Lytechinus pictus: one gene and its partner. The protein of the gene in region 1 purifies or fractionates together with the protein of each later gene. This does not show direct contact. Links are inferred from orthologs where the notes say so. Each region holds a gene or a part of one and is shown in the gene's direction. Other genes may lie near its edges.

Evidence for each region.
Region 2: the proteins of F-box/WD repeat-containing protein 11-like (region 1) and cullin-1-like purify together in Drosophila melanogaster (affinity purification with western blotting; 4 studies listed by BioGRID, with this or other methods). This does not show direct contact. The link is inferred for Lytechinus pictus from reciprocal best matches to the Drosophila melanogaster genes slmb and Cul1.

The regions. Positions count from the first base shown.
Region 1 is NC_087256.1:24,778,160-24,786,048, forward strand, and holds the start of F-box/WD repeat-containing protein 11-like, read left to right. Parts: upstream 1-4,739; 5' UTR 4,740-4,971; coding exon 4,972-5,016; intron 5,017-7,889.
Region 2 is NC_087247.1:61,242,510-61,249,715, forward strand, and holds the start of cullin-1-like, read left to right. Parts: upstream 1-4,138; 5' UTR 4,139-4,308; intron 4,309-4,409; exon of another isoform or gene 4,410-4,625; intron 4,626-7,206. UniProt on the Drosophila melanogaster protein: Core component of multiple SCF (SKP1-CUL1-F-box protein) E3 ubiquitin-protein ligase complexes which mediate the ubiquitination of proteins involved in cell cycle progression, signal transduction and transcription.

The DNA.
Region 1 (7,889 bases):
GTAAAGTTCCGTTCTGACAACGATGGCGATTTTACTATGGTGTCGCTTAAGATCTTTTTTCTTTCCCGTCTTATGTTTTGATGATTTCAAATGTGTAACTCATCATTATTTTAAAAGTCATCATCATTGCGTCCTCAAGACTAGGTGGTGGCTGGCCCTGACTCACAGTGACAGCCGGCGCCATGGCCATGGCTCTCGCCCCGCCGCGCCGCGCCGCTTGCGCTTGACGTGGGCCGAGCCTTGTTTGCTTATTTAGTGGTTAAATACCACATTCCACTTCCCCTCACCTGATGATCTTTAACCTGTTTCAGTGATCTGCTTGCAAAAATCGTATGCAGTCGTCTCGATCAGCAATTCGCAAGAATGTAACGAGAGAACATCCAAGTTGGCCAAGCCAAGGTTTCTTGCCGGCCGCCGGGAAAACAGTAGTTCCGATCACCTACAAATGCGGCTTCCCACACTAGCACTAAAATCAGAGATTATTACTAGATTTGGTGTACATCATGACTGTACGAGACTTTACCCTTTCAGCACTACTGTCGCCAACGTGGGCAAAGATGGCGCTATTCCTCTTTTCTGCCAAAAACTCCATAGAGATGTAAACTAATTATATCTCTATGCAAAAACACTCGCTTTCAAGAAAATATTGAAAAAAAATCTCAACTGCTCAATCTTACTTTACTTACCCAGCTTACTGCTCAACTTTTGAGTTGTGTTTCTGAAGGTGTTTGGCCATCTCATGTTAGCATCCATATTTTTCGTTATGTATTTGCCCTATTTTAAAAATATTTTTGTTATCAACGATTCGCATAAACATATAATCAGCAAAATTTTTGAGAGGCTAGACGCTGGGCTTTATAAAGGGCGGGGAATCTGCAAAGTTACGAGCGAGAGAGGCGAGCGAGCCAAAATCATTTTTTTAAATAATTTTTACATAATATCCATTAAAAAAATCTTATTTTATCCTTTTCCTTTTCTTTCTTTATTTTTTCTTTTATTCTTGGTCGAGAAACTTTTGGGGGACCATGACCCTAGCTAAGCCCCCTCATATCTTTACATCGGTAATTCAAGGTACCTTTAAAACCATAGGCCTATATTTTATTTACAGGTAGTGCCTATACCTACATATAAATGTACAAATCTGTTCAAAACGTCCAAATATAGGCCTCCAAAATATAATTGGTAAAAATATTTATTTTTTAACAAAATAAATGCTTCACTTATTCATGCTTGAATGGAATGCCGCAAGTGAAATTATTCTGGAAATATATATTCGTGATTCCTTTAAATATTCATTGCCATTAACTGACTGACTGATAAGTATATCAAGTGATTACCTAAATACAAACCTTAATCATAATATTTCCATGTTTTAATACAAAATGTACATTTTAAATCACTTTCAATGAAAATCATAGTTTTCAATATAACATGGTTGTTTTTTATACATATTATTTATGGTGTATCAGATGCTTATAATCAAAAACTTTTTAGCTTGTAATTTTGTAAGATGATATGTTAGAATTTGAATAATATGCATTTTAATGTGAATAGAGGCATCTGATGAGGTAAACATATAAATTTTTATGAAAATAACTCGTTTTCCTACTTTCGGTGAGAGATTAAGTATATAAAATCTATATTGAAAAAAAAAATAGATGAAAAGAAAGAACAAAAAACACATGACGGCCGCACAGCGGGCACAACACCCCTTCCTTCAGACCCCCCCCCCCCCCATCCACCCACTGCCCTCACAAGTTCCTCCCTCACTACCTGAACAAGTTTCAAAATAAAGCTTAGTTACACAGCAAAAACTGTGGTGTTAACCGGTGTACTAGAGGACCACACCAGTTATTTTACACCGGTGTTAAATTGACAGTGTTAGTTTAACACCTACAAGTGTTATTACAACACCTTTGGTTGTCACATCAACACCCTTTGGTGTTATGTTCAATCCCTAGGGTGTAATTTTAACACCTCAGGGTGTGGTCCTCTATTAACACCAACTGGTGTCAGTTTTCACCTCAGTTTTTACAGTGTATAAAACATATTTTGAGGACAAAAATACTAACATAAGTTACAGCAATAATATTAAAACTTTTTTAAGCACATTAAGTTTCTCAAACGTATATGTATGGGAAAACCAAAATACCTTCTCCATTGATATATTAAAGAAAGCTTTACACACCAAACTACGAGACAGATACATTCAATCATGGAAAGTTGCTCTCTGCAATGAACAAAGCACTGAATATATACTCTACTAAACTGCAAACATAAAAAACCTTTAAACTGGAATACAAAATGGAAAATTACTGACTTATCACTAGACAAATTAAAATCACATGTAACTAAATTCCCCTAAATTCACTAAACTCAGAATAAATAATAGTAACCTTATATATGATAGGAAGATACGAGAAACTGAAGCCAGAAGAAAGAATATGTCCTCTTATATGCAAATCTGGTGTAGAGGATGAACTTCACTTCCTTGTCACCTGCTCATGTTTAAATGATCCCATCAGGCTGGAATTATACTCTAAATTACACGACATACTACCCGATTTCAAAGTTTTAACAACAAAGAGAAATTTGAAACTAAATAAATGATGTCAAACTCCGAAATAGACTTAAACGTAATAGTAGTTAAGGGAATTAGTGCAATGTTTGATAAACGTCTGGAGCTTTTAGAAAATAATAAGTAATGACTACATAATCACCCTTACCCATTCTTGTTTTCCACCTGAATAGGGATAAGAGATAAAAACTAAACCTTTAGATTTTGCTGTTAGTCCGATAAAGGCTTAGTATTATTGGTGTCATTATTAATGTTATTATTGTTACTTTTCTCTCCAAGCTTCCTACGGTACCAATGTCATTGTTGTTCCTCTTTATACATTCATCTTCAAATTTTTGTTATTTTGAATTATTATACCATTAGAGCGTCAACCAGTATTATAAACTATTTAACTACAATATTTCTGTTTATTTCCGAGTCTTAAAATTGAAAAATATTTGTCCTTTGCAACCTTTATTTTATTTTATTTAGGGATGGGGTGGGGGTCCTGCACTGCAGACTCTCACTCCTCCCACCCGTCCGGATCACCCGTGATAACTAACCCTAACTATCATCCTTTTGATAGGCTGTTTTATTAATTATATTTAATGTGATTTGAGCCTTGTATAATTTACATATTTAAAAATCGTGCAAAGAAACTTTCAAAAGAAAACATGTAAGTTTACCTATGCTATAAGAGGTAAATTATTTATTTGAATATGTATCGAATATGATTTAGGGCTCAACATGAAAATTACTCAACATTATTTTTCTGTATGTCGTATTTATATTATTTATATAGTTATATATTTGATTTGTAACTTTGTGTCTCACTGTAAAGTTTACACTTTTTTGGTACGCACTATTAAGTGTTTGTTTTTAAAATTGAGAATGATCCAATATGTGTGGATTTTGATCAATAAATTTTGAAACTTGAAATTTGATATTGATGACACGTACAATAAAATTCATTATTTCTAAGATTCAGACTTGTTGATCATGAGGGTAGGGCAGGGGGATAATCGCCCCCATGAAAAACTTTAAAAAAAGATGGTTTTGAAAGAGGCTGGTCAATGGTCAAACGTATTTGGGTTTTTTTTTCCAAAGCTTTTTTTAAGACCATATAGCCAAATGTGTTTAGGTTATGTTTTTCCTCAAGCTTTTTCCCCGGGTCTTAATTACAGTGTTAATTGTATTCCTTTGTGGTATTTTAACACTACTGAACTGCACTGGGGGCATATACCCATGCCTATTGTTAACATGTTGCAATGCATTTGAACGCCCCCCCCCCCCTCCCCGGGCGAATTCCCTGCTCAAAATTTTCAAGTCAATAAAATTTATGCTTTGTGGATGAAAATATTTTCCCGCCCCTCCCATTATAAGCAAAATCTGGATCCATTTGTGATATAAAGATAACGTATTACGATTAAAGGTGTATTGAACATTTACCTCCACCCCCCCAAAAAAAAAAATCATGCATCCATCATGCAATGCCGATCCACTATTTCCTCATAGTTCTCCGTAAAATTATTATGTATAATTTTACTGAGTAACCAAAAATTCAGTTACTTTTTTTTTCAAGGAATAACGGTCTATAACTGAATGTCTAAATAAAGAGAATAAAATTTAACGAGCAGGACTGATACAAATAATGAAGTAACTGAATTTGATTTAGATTAATATTTTGTGAAAATATATTCATGCCGTGACGTCATGAGTTTGGAATAATTATTGGTGGGCTGATGATGTAATGGATCCACTTTCCTTTTTATACATGAAATCATATTTGATTATGAATACGTGTGTGTAAAAAATGAAGTTCATTGCGAGACTGTCGATCTCCAGTGCCCCCCCCCCCCCATGAAAAAAGAGGAGTGCATGGGACAAAGCTGCATGTACGGGGGCCATGGCGGCCAACCATTAAAAAAATCATAATGTAATAAGATGGTGATTTTACTGTTTTGGGGGCGCGGGGGCTCAGATATGTTACCTGAAAAAAGTGGGGGTCCCATATGTCCCAAATCGTCTTCGCATCCACCAAAATGTATTTAGTTTTAAGGGGACGATAAAACAGAAATGAATAAAACATTTTGCTCTCTTTTAAAGAATTGTTATTATTAGTAGGCCCCTATACTTATATTATTTATTTTTTAAACTAAGGATTTTTCGGAGAGGTCGAGATATAGATTGAGCTGCGAGAGCTAAAGCATTTCGCTGGGCTCATTCTGAGTACGCTCTATCCACCGTGCATGTCTCGCACACGGCCTCATCAGTGCACTGTACTGTATACAACAGCGCAGTGCCAGTGGTATGGTATGCTGTATTTTTGTTGGATCAGCGAACTGCACAACAGTGACATGAAAAAGGCGTAGGGCTTCACACAAAAACCTGCATGAAATTTCACTTTATCAACCATGGAGACCAGTACTATCAACGAAGATAAGATACCAGAAGGAATGGTGAGCATAGATTTTAAGTTTTTTATCAAATATTCCAGCGAAAATGACAATAACCAACCGTTGACTAGCTTTGTCATGTTTGTTCATAATTGGGATTGCGTCTTGTCTGTGTCTTTCCAATGACTGTCTATGAATGATGTGTGAGCTGGTGAGTCGTCATCAGTGAGTGAGTGAGTGAGTTTTTTTTTGTGCAGTGCAGTGGTCGTGGTCAGTCCTGCCAGGCAATGGCATTGACAGTATTGTGTGTAAGTTAGTGTATTTGCTAACCTGAGAGGTGTCCGAGTTAGTCAAGAGGTGTTTTGATTGTAAAAATCAAGGCATTACCGTGAAATTGAGAACCACCGTTCACTTTGTATGATGGGGTGATCATAAATAATTTATGGCATAATTTGCGCACATTTTGAAAATTATTATTAAGTTGATTTTCAATCAGAAATTTCTCACAGTTCACAAAAAATTAATCGAAATCATAAATACCAGATGGAAGGCGAGATCCCAAAGTCAAATTTGGTTAACGGAATTAAAAGTAGGTCAAGGGTTTTGCTGGTATCGCGATCACAAAATTCCATGGCGATCGACTAGTGCGCGCTAGGCTGAAAAAATGTCACAAAAAAGTGTGACCTTAATTTGCGCACAATTATTTTGCAAAGCTTTAGAAACGAAATCAAGCAGACAAAGGTAAGATATTTACATCAGATTGAGGTTAAAATGCCATAAGTGCGGTTGGTATCACATTTTACTTACTTACTTGGAGACCTCTGCCTGCAAACTGGCGATTTCTTGATGCTTGTTGAGAAGTTCAGATTTTCTCAGAGCGGACGCAAAAGGTAGCAAAATTTGCCAATGTTTTGCCAATAATTTCACAAATTGAGACCTTCCCTTCGAGAAAATTACTGAGTGATTTTGTGTCGCTTTTTCTGTTGGTGATATTATTTTTTGAGATATTGATTTGAAATATTCAACCGTGCGAAAAATTAGGTAACGTGCGAATTAAGGTCACACCACCATACAGCTGCACTTCAGCCTATTCTGTCACACGCAAAGTTTCCTCGTCCTAGCGTTAGATCCTATTCCTACATTTCTACCTCCAAACTCCATTCATTTTGTAAAAAGTTACACAAGTGCGGGCGTAAAAAAATCGACGAGTGGTTCCCAAAACTACGATTTGGCCGAAATCATTCACCGACGCGAGGCCGATGCCAAGGCGACTCAGACGCCATCAACTGTCATGACTGTACCGACCACTGCACCGTGATCCCCCCCCAAAAAAGAGAACAACTGGCTGCACTCTGCTCTGCAGGCAGATGTTCTCGTATTTTACATGTACGTAAAAATATGACCGTAGTCAATGGCAGAAAAACAGTATGAACTCTATTTATGATGCAACGGCCACAAACTTAACGCCTGCAATACATCTATAGACAGATATTCATTAAGAAAATCTGACTCAGAATGGTTTGAATTTCAGGCTTATTATGTCACAGCCTAAAAATTTCTAATCGAAATCCCAAAATCATGTGTGTAAAATGAATGAGTGCAAAGACAGGGTGCACCAGTTTTTTTTCAATTTGAAACTTACTTGTGGTTTTTTCCAAGAAAATCATCAAATCTTTATGAGATTTTTTGCACACTTATAAAAAATATAGGGAACATTATCGACTTGAATTTTTTTGTGACATAAAAATAAATCTATATTAAATCTTAAGTTGAATTGTTAGGTGCGCAGACATACCCCCCTTATAAAGTTTCGCTTAACAATTTCCAAATTCTCCTGCGAAAGCCAAAAACACTTTGAAAATACCTTCACTCCTTACAACTTGCAGTTTAATTCATCATCTTTGAGATAGGCTGCACAGCCCTTTGAAGATTATTGCAGAAGAAGAAAGATGCAATATTAAATATTTCTATGAAACTTATATGACAAACTTGTTTCCCAATTTATCTTCAAGAATTCTGGTGAATTATTTTTTTCTGCTCTCATGGTGGTTGACTTAAAGGAGAATGAAACTTTTGGAGTAAGTTAGCTTTTGTGAAAGCAGAAAAATCAAAGAATAAGATCAACAAAAGTTTGAGTAAAATAGGACTAGCAATAGAAGAGTTATGAGCATTTGAATGTCGAGATCACTAATGCTATGGAGATCCTCCCATTGGCAATGCGACCAAGATCTATGATGTCACAGATGAACAACTCTCCCCTTTTGGATACTGAAAATATATCCCAAAACATATATTTTTGCTCATTCTAATCATATGACAAACGATTCATCAATGATATAATGTGAAACCTCTGAACTTGTCCTCTCATAAAGAGAACACCTCACCTTGTGATAGACTCTATATAAAAGTGAGAATATAAGTGAAATAAGTACTAAAGTAATGAGGGAGTTGTACGTGTGTGACATCACAGATCTTGGTCGCATTGCCAATTGGAGGATCTACATGGCAATAGTGATCTCAATATTCAAATGCTCATAACTTTCTTATTATTCATTCAATCTTCCTCAAACTTTCAACAATATGTTTCTTTGATTTTTCTCTTTGATATGGATTCAGCTGGTTTCAAGGGTTTCATTCTCCTTTAAGCAAAAGGAGACCAACATTATCACCAATAGAGGGCGCACAATTTTTATTTATACACTGTTTACAAACTAACCTGTACTGCTGGTTTTGTTCAAGGCATGTAGGGGGTTTTATAATATTTTGTAATTTTTTTTGCCGCCAAATTTTTTGTCAGAAGTGTTACCATCAGCAATCATGATTTGTAAGGACTTTTTAAAGGTAGTTTATTGATTGATAAGCAGGTCTGCTAATCAAAGAATTGTGCATTCAACACCACTATTACTACTACCATCACAACACCACAACCTCCACTG
Region 2 (7,206 bases), on another chromosome or scaffold:
CGAGGTACAAAACAAACTCAAACTAAAGACTACATAACTACGAGGTACCCTTGCACTTTTGTCCCTAAGTTACCCCAATTTCCTTAACGTTACGATGTTTCATACTTCTGCGTTTATCAATTGAGAAAGAGGGAAAAACAAAACAAAACTCTCCTTAAATTCTGTTGTGTACCACATACAAAATAAAATCAGCAATCAAGTAATATCTCTAAGAGTAAGACCAATGTTAAGGGCAGACATAAAAATATTCATCTCATCGATCGGGCATCAAGCCTAAAATTTCTATAAAGAACTTCGAAATTCCAGTTCTCACAAATTTAATTAGAAATTCCTTTTTATAGAAAAGGGGGGGGGGGATATTATATAACCTTAAGAAGTTTAAAGAAATATTCCACTCACGATTCTTGCTAAGGTCAAACGCTTACAAGTACTTTCAACTGGAAGACTGGCTTGGAGTTCTCTCTAGACAAATACTCTCAAAGATGCAAAGTGAAGAAATTTTCACCCTCTGCCCCTTTTATACCCCTAGCCATCGGGCCCCTATCGCCTGACAAAAACTTGATTTGCCCGCTTACGTGATTGGCCAAAAGTTTGTGACGTCATCACCCGCGAAAGACGAAATACAGAATGTACCATTTCCGGTAGGGAATAATCACTTCTAGTGACTAAAATAGGATCATTAAAGACATCATTTTATCATAAAAGGGAAAAATAGAGCATCAAGCTCCTCACCTAAAAGACATTTACAAGGTAAGTGACAATTTATCGAGAAAACTCGCTCCGTGCATCACCGTGCACGCCATTAACCTAACCTTGTCCCACGTACTAAATCCTATGTATTGCTGTGGTTCTAAAAATAGCACAATCTGCCTCCGTTACTATGCTCATTGACTGCTGTAGTAAACACACTCAGCTGATTTTACTACGTTCATTCAAGATTCAAAACAAACAACAGCTGTGAGTGGTGGCGTTGTATTAAAGTGGAATTTTTGATAGATTTTGGATACTAGTAATTAATTCTGGCTGAAAGTAAGCACAGATCTAAATAGAAAATATTAAAAGAGAATTTTGAAAAATTTTGGGGGTATTTCTTCACACATAATACAATATACAACTAATTTATTCTTCCCCATTACGTTTCTCTTCCTTTCTCCCTCTTTCTCCTTTTCTACCTTGTTTCTTTTTTTTTTTTTTTTTTTTTTTGGCCAGCCGTTGGGGGGGGGGGGGCGTACTGAGTTACGCCACTTGATTTTTTTTTTTTTTTTCAATTTATTCCCCTCCACAGGGATTTTATTATTATTCAAAACATAACAAGATATCTTTTCAATGACAAATCAAATTAATAACAACGAAATACAGTACAACAGTAATTGCAACAAATACATAAATTGAACTGTCAGGTTCACATAATAGTAAACAATTTAAGGAAAAAGCAAGGAGTAAATGAACAATAATATTCATATGTATATACATGGAAAGGGAACTGAACAGATCACTTCATGTAAACATGGCACGTAATTGAAACCATTTCTTTGTAAACTTTACCATTTTACAATTTGACTCTGCGATATATTTTTCATTCTTGAAATAATTCTGAAGTGCAAATTTGATATTATCAAAAACAGGTAATTTATGTTTTACTCTGGAATTGTAAATCATCTGTCGTATCACTATCAATAAACAATTTAATGCATAATTACTTGAACCTCTTAAACCAAATAATTTTTCTTTATTAGAGAAAAATATTCTATTTCCAGTTTTAAGAAATATCCATTGTTCAAACCTGTCCCATATATGTTTAATACATGTACATTCACAAAGTAGACGAGTAACTGTTTTACGGTGTACATTACAAAAAGTACATTCTTTTTGTTGAGCTAAATTAATTTTAAACAATATTTCATTTGTATATAAATACGTTGCATTATTTTGAACTGAAACCAACGTAAATTCACATCGGTATTAGTACAACTGAATCAAATAGAGCAATACGACTGCCATTGCTTGTCATTCATATCGAATATACACTTCCACTTAAGAAAACTTTTACATTCCACTTTTCTTTTCTTTTTAAGAATCGTATAGATGTGTGAACAACCTTTATTATATTTCATAACAAGTGCTATTGTATCAGGGATAATAGGTTCTTGGAACTTGCTAAAGTGTGTGCCACTGCTAAAACCGTCTCTTATGGCATCACATAATCCACGGTAAAAAAGAAAATTTATTTGAACATTGTATTTTTCCTGAAGGTCATTCAAAGAGAGGAAATTGCCATCTAAAATATCATTAACGAAACGAACACCCCTATTATTTAGAGATCTACTGTGAATTGAGCTATTACCTATTTTGATAAAATCATTGTTCCATAAGGGTTGGCAAGGTATATTAAATTTAGTGCATAGATAACAGTGTGCTATACGCTAAGAACATTTCTTTCCAAAAAGGATTTTAATTTCGTGTGCCACTTTCTAGAAAAATAGCTATTTCCCATATAAAGATCCAAGTTTTGCGTTTTATGCAAAAAAAGACTGAAGAAGACAAATAATATTACCGTCAATGGAACCGTTTATCATTTTTTTCATCCAAGAAATTTTCAATGACTGGCATTGCAGATTTATGTCTATCATTTTTACTCCACCTTCAGAATAACTCTGAGACATTTGATTTCTACTTACTTTATCTGGTTTCTCTCCCCATATGAATCTATGAAATTGGGAATCTTTTAGAAATAACTCTCTTGGATTCGGGAGAGAAAGAATTAAGTATAGTTCAATTTAGACACAAACAATGACTTGACAACCGTAACTCTTCCAAGGACCGTCAGGTAACGTCTTAACCATGAAGTCATTTGACTTTTGATCTCTTTAAACTTTTCATTGTAATTATGCACTGTCATTTTCTGAAGATCTGTACAAAAATCTATACCTAAATATCTGAAGTATTCATCAAATACCCAATTCAAATTCCCATTGGCAAGAATACAGTCTTTCTTGTTCTTGTATCCTCCAATCCATATTGCATGCATGTGTCTTGGTTATATTAACAGTCAAACCTGATATTGTTTTATATTTTTACAAGATGTCAAAAGCACTACTCAATTCTCTTTCTGAACCGTTTAATGTCAGAAGAGTGTCATCTGCATACTGTAATATTTTATGACATTTACCAGAGGGCATCCTCAAACCATCTATTGACGTTGATTGTCGAAACAAGTATTTCAGCACATAATAGAAAAATATATGGAGACAATGGATCTCCTTGGCGACAGCCTCGCTCTATTGAAAATCTGGGAGACAGGTGTCCATTGATTAAAACACAAGATTGAGCATTTTCATAAAACACATCAAACCATTTAACAATGGTCGGACCGAATTTAAAGAAGTGTAGTACATAATGCGAATAATTGATTTATGAAACACGTACCCACCCGGTCATTTTATCGATAGTTAATCTCAGCTCGCGCTTTCAATTTTGTATAATCAAGCGTACAATAAAAGTGCCTTTGTAATATTTTCAAGTCATTTACCCCCCCCCAAAAAAAAAAAAAATAAATAAATAAATAAATAAATGAACCCCGGCGGTTTGCGCTCGCATTATTTTGTTTAATACTGTACAGGTTATGACCAGTCAATGAGAAATCTTATACCCTGGACTTGCTTTCGCTATATTATGTAGGCTTTATAGATGTTCCTGTGTGCGCTGGAAGTAATTACGACCCCTCACTTTTTTCGCAAATATAATATATAGATGCTTTTTATAGCAAATAATATATACAAACGCTTGTAAGAGGAATGAAAAAAAAAAATAAAACAAAGAGGTCCCACCGAGACTTGAACTCGGATCGCTGGATTCAAAGTCCAGAGTGCTAACCATTACACCATGGGACCTTGGCTGTTCGTCGGAGGGAACAAAAACATATTAAATTTAAAACTATCTTTATGTACGTCTAAACTTGTTTTTATGTTTTGTCATCTATAAACACTATATTCAAATTCTAGGAAAATTGAATAATGAAATGCAATAGAAATTCTGAGCCGAAATTCTTTTTATGCAGTGTTCACAAAGCCTCGCAGTCATAACTTTAGAAATATAGATATTTATAAACTAGTACTAGTATCATTTGTTGTGCGCGCTCACTCGCGAGCTATATTCACGGTGCAGGCAGTGCGCGCGGTGTGTGCACGATCGGTGCGCATGAAAAACATTAACAGACGTCCGAAATGGTACCGGTGATTTATCAACATTTATACCATTAAAAAACAACATTTTCTTCACAGTTCCATAATTCAATCGACGAAAGTTAAGGTAATTTAACATAGACCTCTTTCATGCTAAATATTCTAATTACAAATATATTGAATTTGTGGTTTATTAAGTTGTTTGGAGAACTCCATTGAATTGAGCTGGATGAACAAATGCGACAGATCTTGAGTCGCAGTCACAGAGTCGACAAGACTGCTCAGTCAGACGTCAGCTACACTCCCTACACTACGTCTACAGAGAGAGTGCAGCAATTTATATTCGATTGTTCTGTCGTGTAGATCTAGATAACATTTACATGTGATCATGTCGATTTTTCATGTTGTTTATTGCCAATTGCGTTCCTGCTGACAATGGCTGAGGTCAGTCAATGTCAGTGACATTAAATTTTAATTAAGTTAAGTCTTAATTGTTTAAATATCATCAGTTTAACTTTAACTTAGGCCTAAGTCTTTTTTTTCTGACTTATGATTTTCATTACAGATCGAGCATGCGATCTTAGTTAAACACATAGTCTCATAGAAGTAATGCCGAAAATTTGTTTACAAATAATTAAGTCTTATTTATTTTGACAATGTTTGAGCTGAGAGTGTGTGATGTAAATAGACAAAGACAAGTAGAATGAAGTACAGTCAGACTACGGACGGTGTTGTCTGTTGAAATCTGAGTGGTGTTGCCTGTTGTGTTTGTGTTGTCGGTGACAATGTCGTGCAAAATCGGATAAGTACAATAGATTAATATTAACTTTTTAGATCTAACAAAGTTAGATCTACATGTAGATCCCTCGATGTTAGATCTACATCAATTCATATGATGGGGTGACCATAATTTGCGCACATTTTAAAAATTATCATGAAGTTGATTTTCAATCAAAAATTTCTCACAGACACAGTTCACACAAAATTAATCAAAATCATAAATACCAAACAGAAGGCAAGACCCCAAAGTCAAATTCGCTTGACAGAATTATAAAGTAGGTCAAGGGTTTCGCTAGACCAAAAGCTTCGGTCTCTGTTATGTTGGTTGTTCAGCTGAACTCCGTTGGCTTCACTCACCAAATACAGAGACCGAAGTTCTAGCGCGATCTGTACAGGGGACTCAATGGCCATATGTTTATGTACTTAAGATCGGATAAAACGGGGAAGTGAATTTGCGCGACAGCCGAGGTAAGTCACTGTTTTTGTTCCTTTTAACTTGATTTTTCTCCATTTTTGGGCAATTAATGCCAAGAGGGAATATTAATTTGCATTTTGGTCGCGTTAATTTTCAAAATTTTTATTCATTAAAGACAAAAATTGAAGAGCCCCGACGGGGGGATTTTGCATTGCAAGTCCCCTAATGGTGGCTGCACGCTAGCGAGCCGTCTGTGTACGAGGAGAAATTTAAAAAAAAAAAAGTAAAAAAACTCCTCGAAACAGACGGCTGCCAGCTGTCTAGGGTTTCGCTAGACAGCTGGCAGCCGTCTGTTTCTAGGAGTTTTTAAACATTTTTATTTCTCCTCACAAAAGCCTCGCGATCGTGCAGCCGCCATTAGGGGATTAACAATGCAAAATCCCCCCGACGGGGCTTATCGATTTTTGTCTTTATTTCATAAAAATGTATAAACAGAACTGTACCAAACAAAGATTATTATTCTGTTTTGGCCTGAAATGCACCAAAATGTTGAAAAATAAACTTAAAACTTTCAGGACAAAAACAGTGATATACTTCAGCTGTCGTGCAACTCCCACATCCTTGGTTTATCCGAACTTAATACATTAACATATGGCCATTGAGTCCCTGTACAGATCGAGTTAGAACTTAGGTCTCTGTATTTGGTAAGTGGAGCCAACGGAGTTCAGCGGAACAACCAATTTAACAATAACAGAGACCGAAGCTTTTGGTCTAGGGTTTCGCTTGTATCGCGATCTTAAAATTCCATGGCGATCAACTAGTGCGTGCTCGGCTGAAAAAGTGTGATCTTCATTTGCGCACGATCGTTTTGCAAGGCTTTAGAGTTTAGTCTTAGAGTTGAAATCAAGTGCTCAGACAAAGGTAAGATAATTATATCAGATGGAAGTTAAAATGCCATAAATTCGGTTGGTACCACATTTTACTAACCGTACTTATTTGGAGATACTGCTTGCAAACTGGCGATTTCTTGATGCTTGTCCAGAAGATTGGACGCAAAAGGTAACAAAATTTGCTGATGTTTTGCCAATATTTTCACAAATAGACTTATCGAGACCTTACCTTGAACAAAATTACCATACTGAGTAATTTTAAGTCGCTCTTTCTATTGGTGATATAAGTTTTTTAAGATATCAATTAGATATTGAGATATTCGACCGTTCGCAAAATTGGGTAACGCGCAAATTAAGGTCACACTACCGTACATGATGTACATGTAGGGCCCCCTAATGTTAGATCTAACTTAGAACTAACGTTAGACCTTACCTATCATCACGCATTCACGGGGCCTGTTTTGGGAATTTTGGGGAATTTTCATTTTTTTACAAAAAGTGATCAATTGTGTTTTAAAATACAAAACCATAAATTGATATCCTCAAATCTAATACTTTCCATCATTCTTTAAATGGCCAAGGGTATAAAACATCAAACTGTACGTACATGTAAATACATTATACAGTATACATGTAGATGTGTAATGTGCATGTATATATGTATCCATTGTAAGTGTAGCATGATAGGCATTTATAATTTACAAAATGAAGCTTCTTTAATTGAACATTGAAAAATATAAAACCTTGCATTACACTGTTTTTTTAATGTCAAGGGTTTAACATATAAGAACCTGCCTTCCATTTACAAATTTTACGTAATAAGTTGGTCCTCACACAAGACTAGCACAAATACAACTTTCCGTTGAACAAAAGGACCTTCTGTACTAGGGCTGTTATCGATAACGCCTTTATCGATAGTCCTGTCAATAATCGCTTGTTT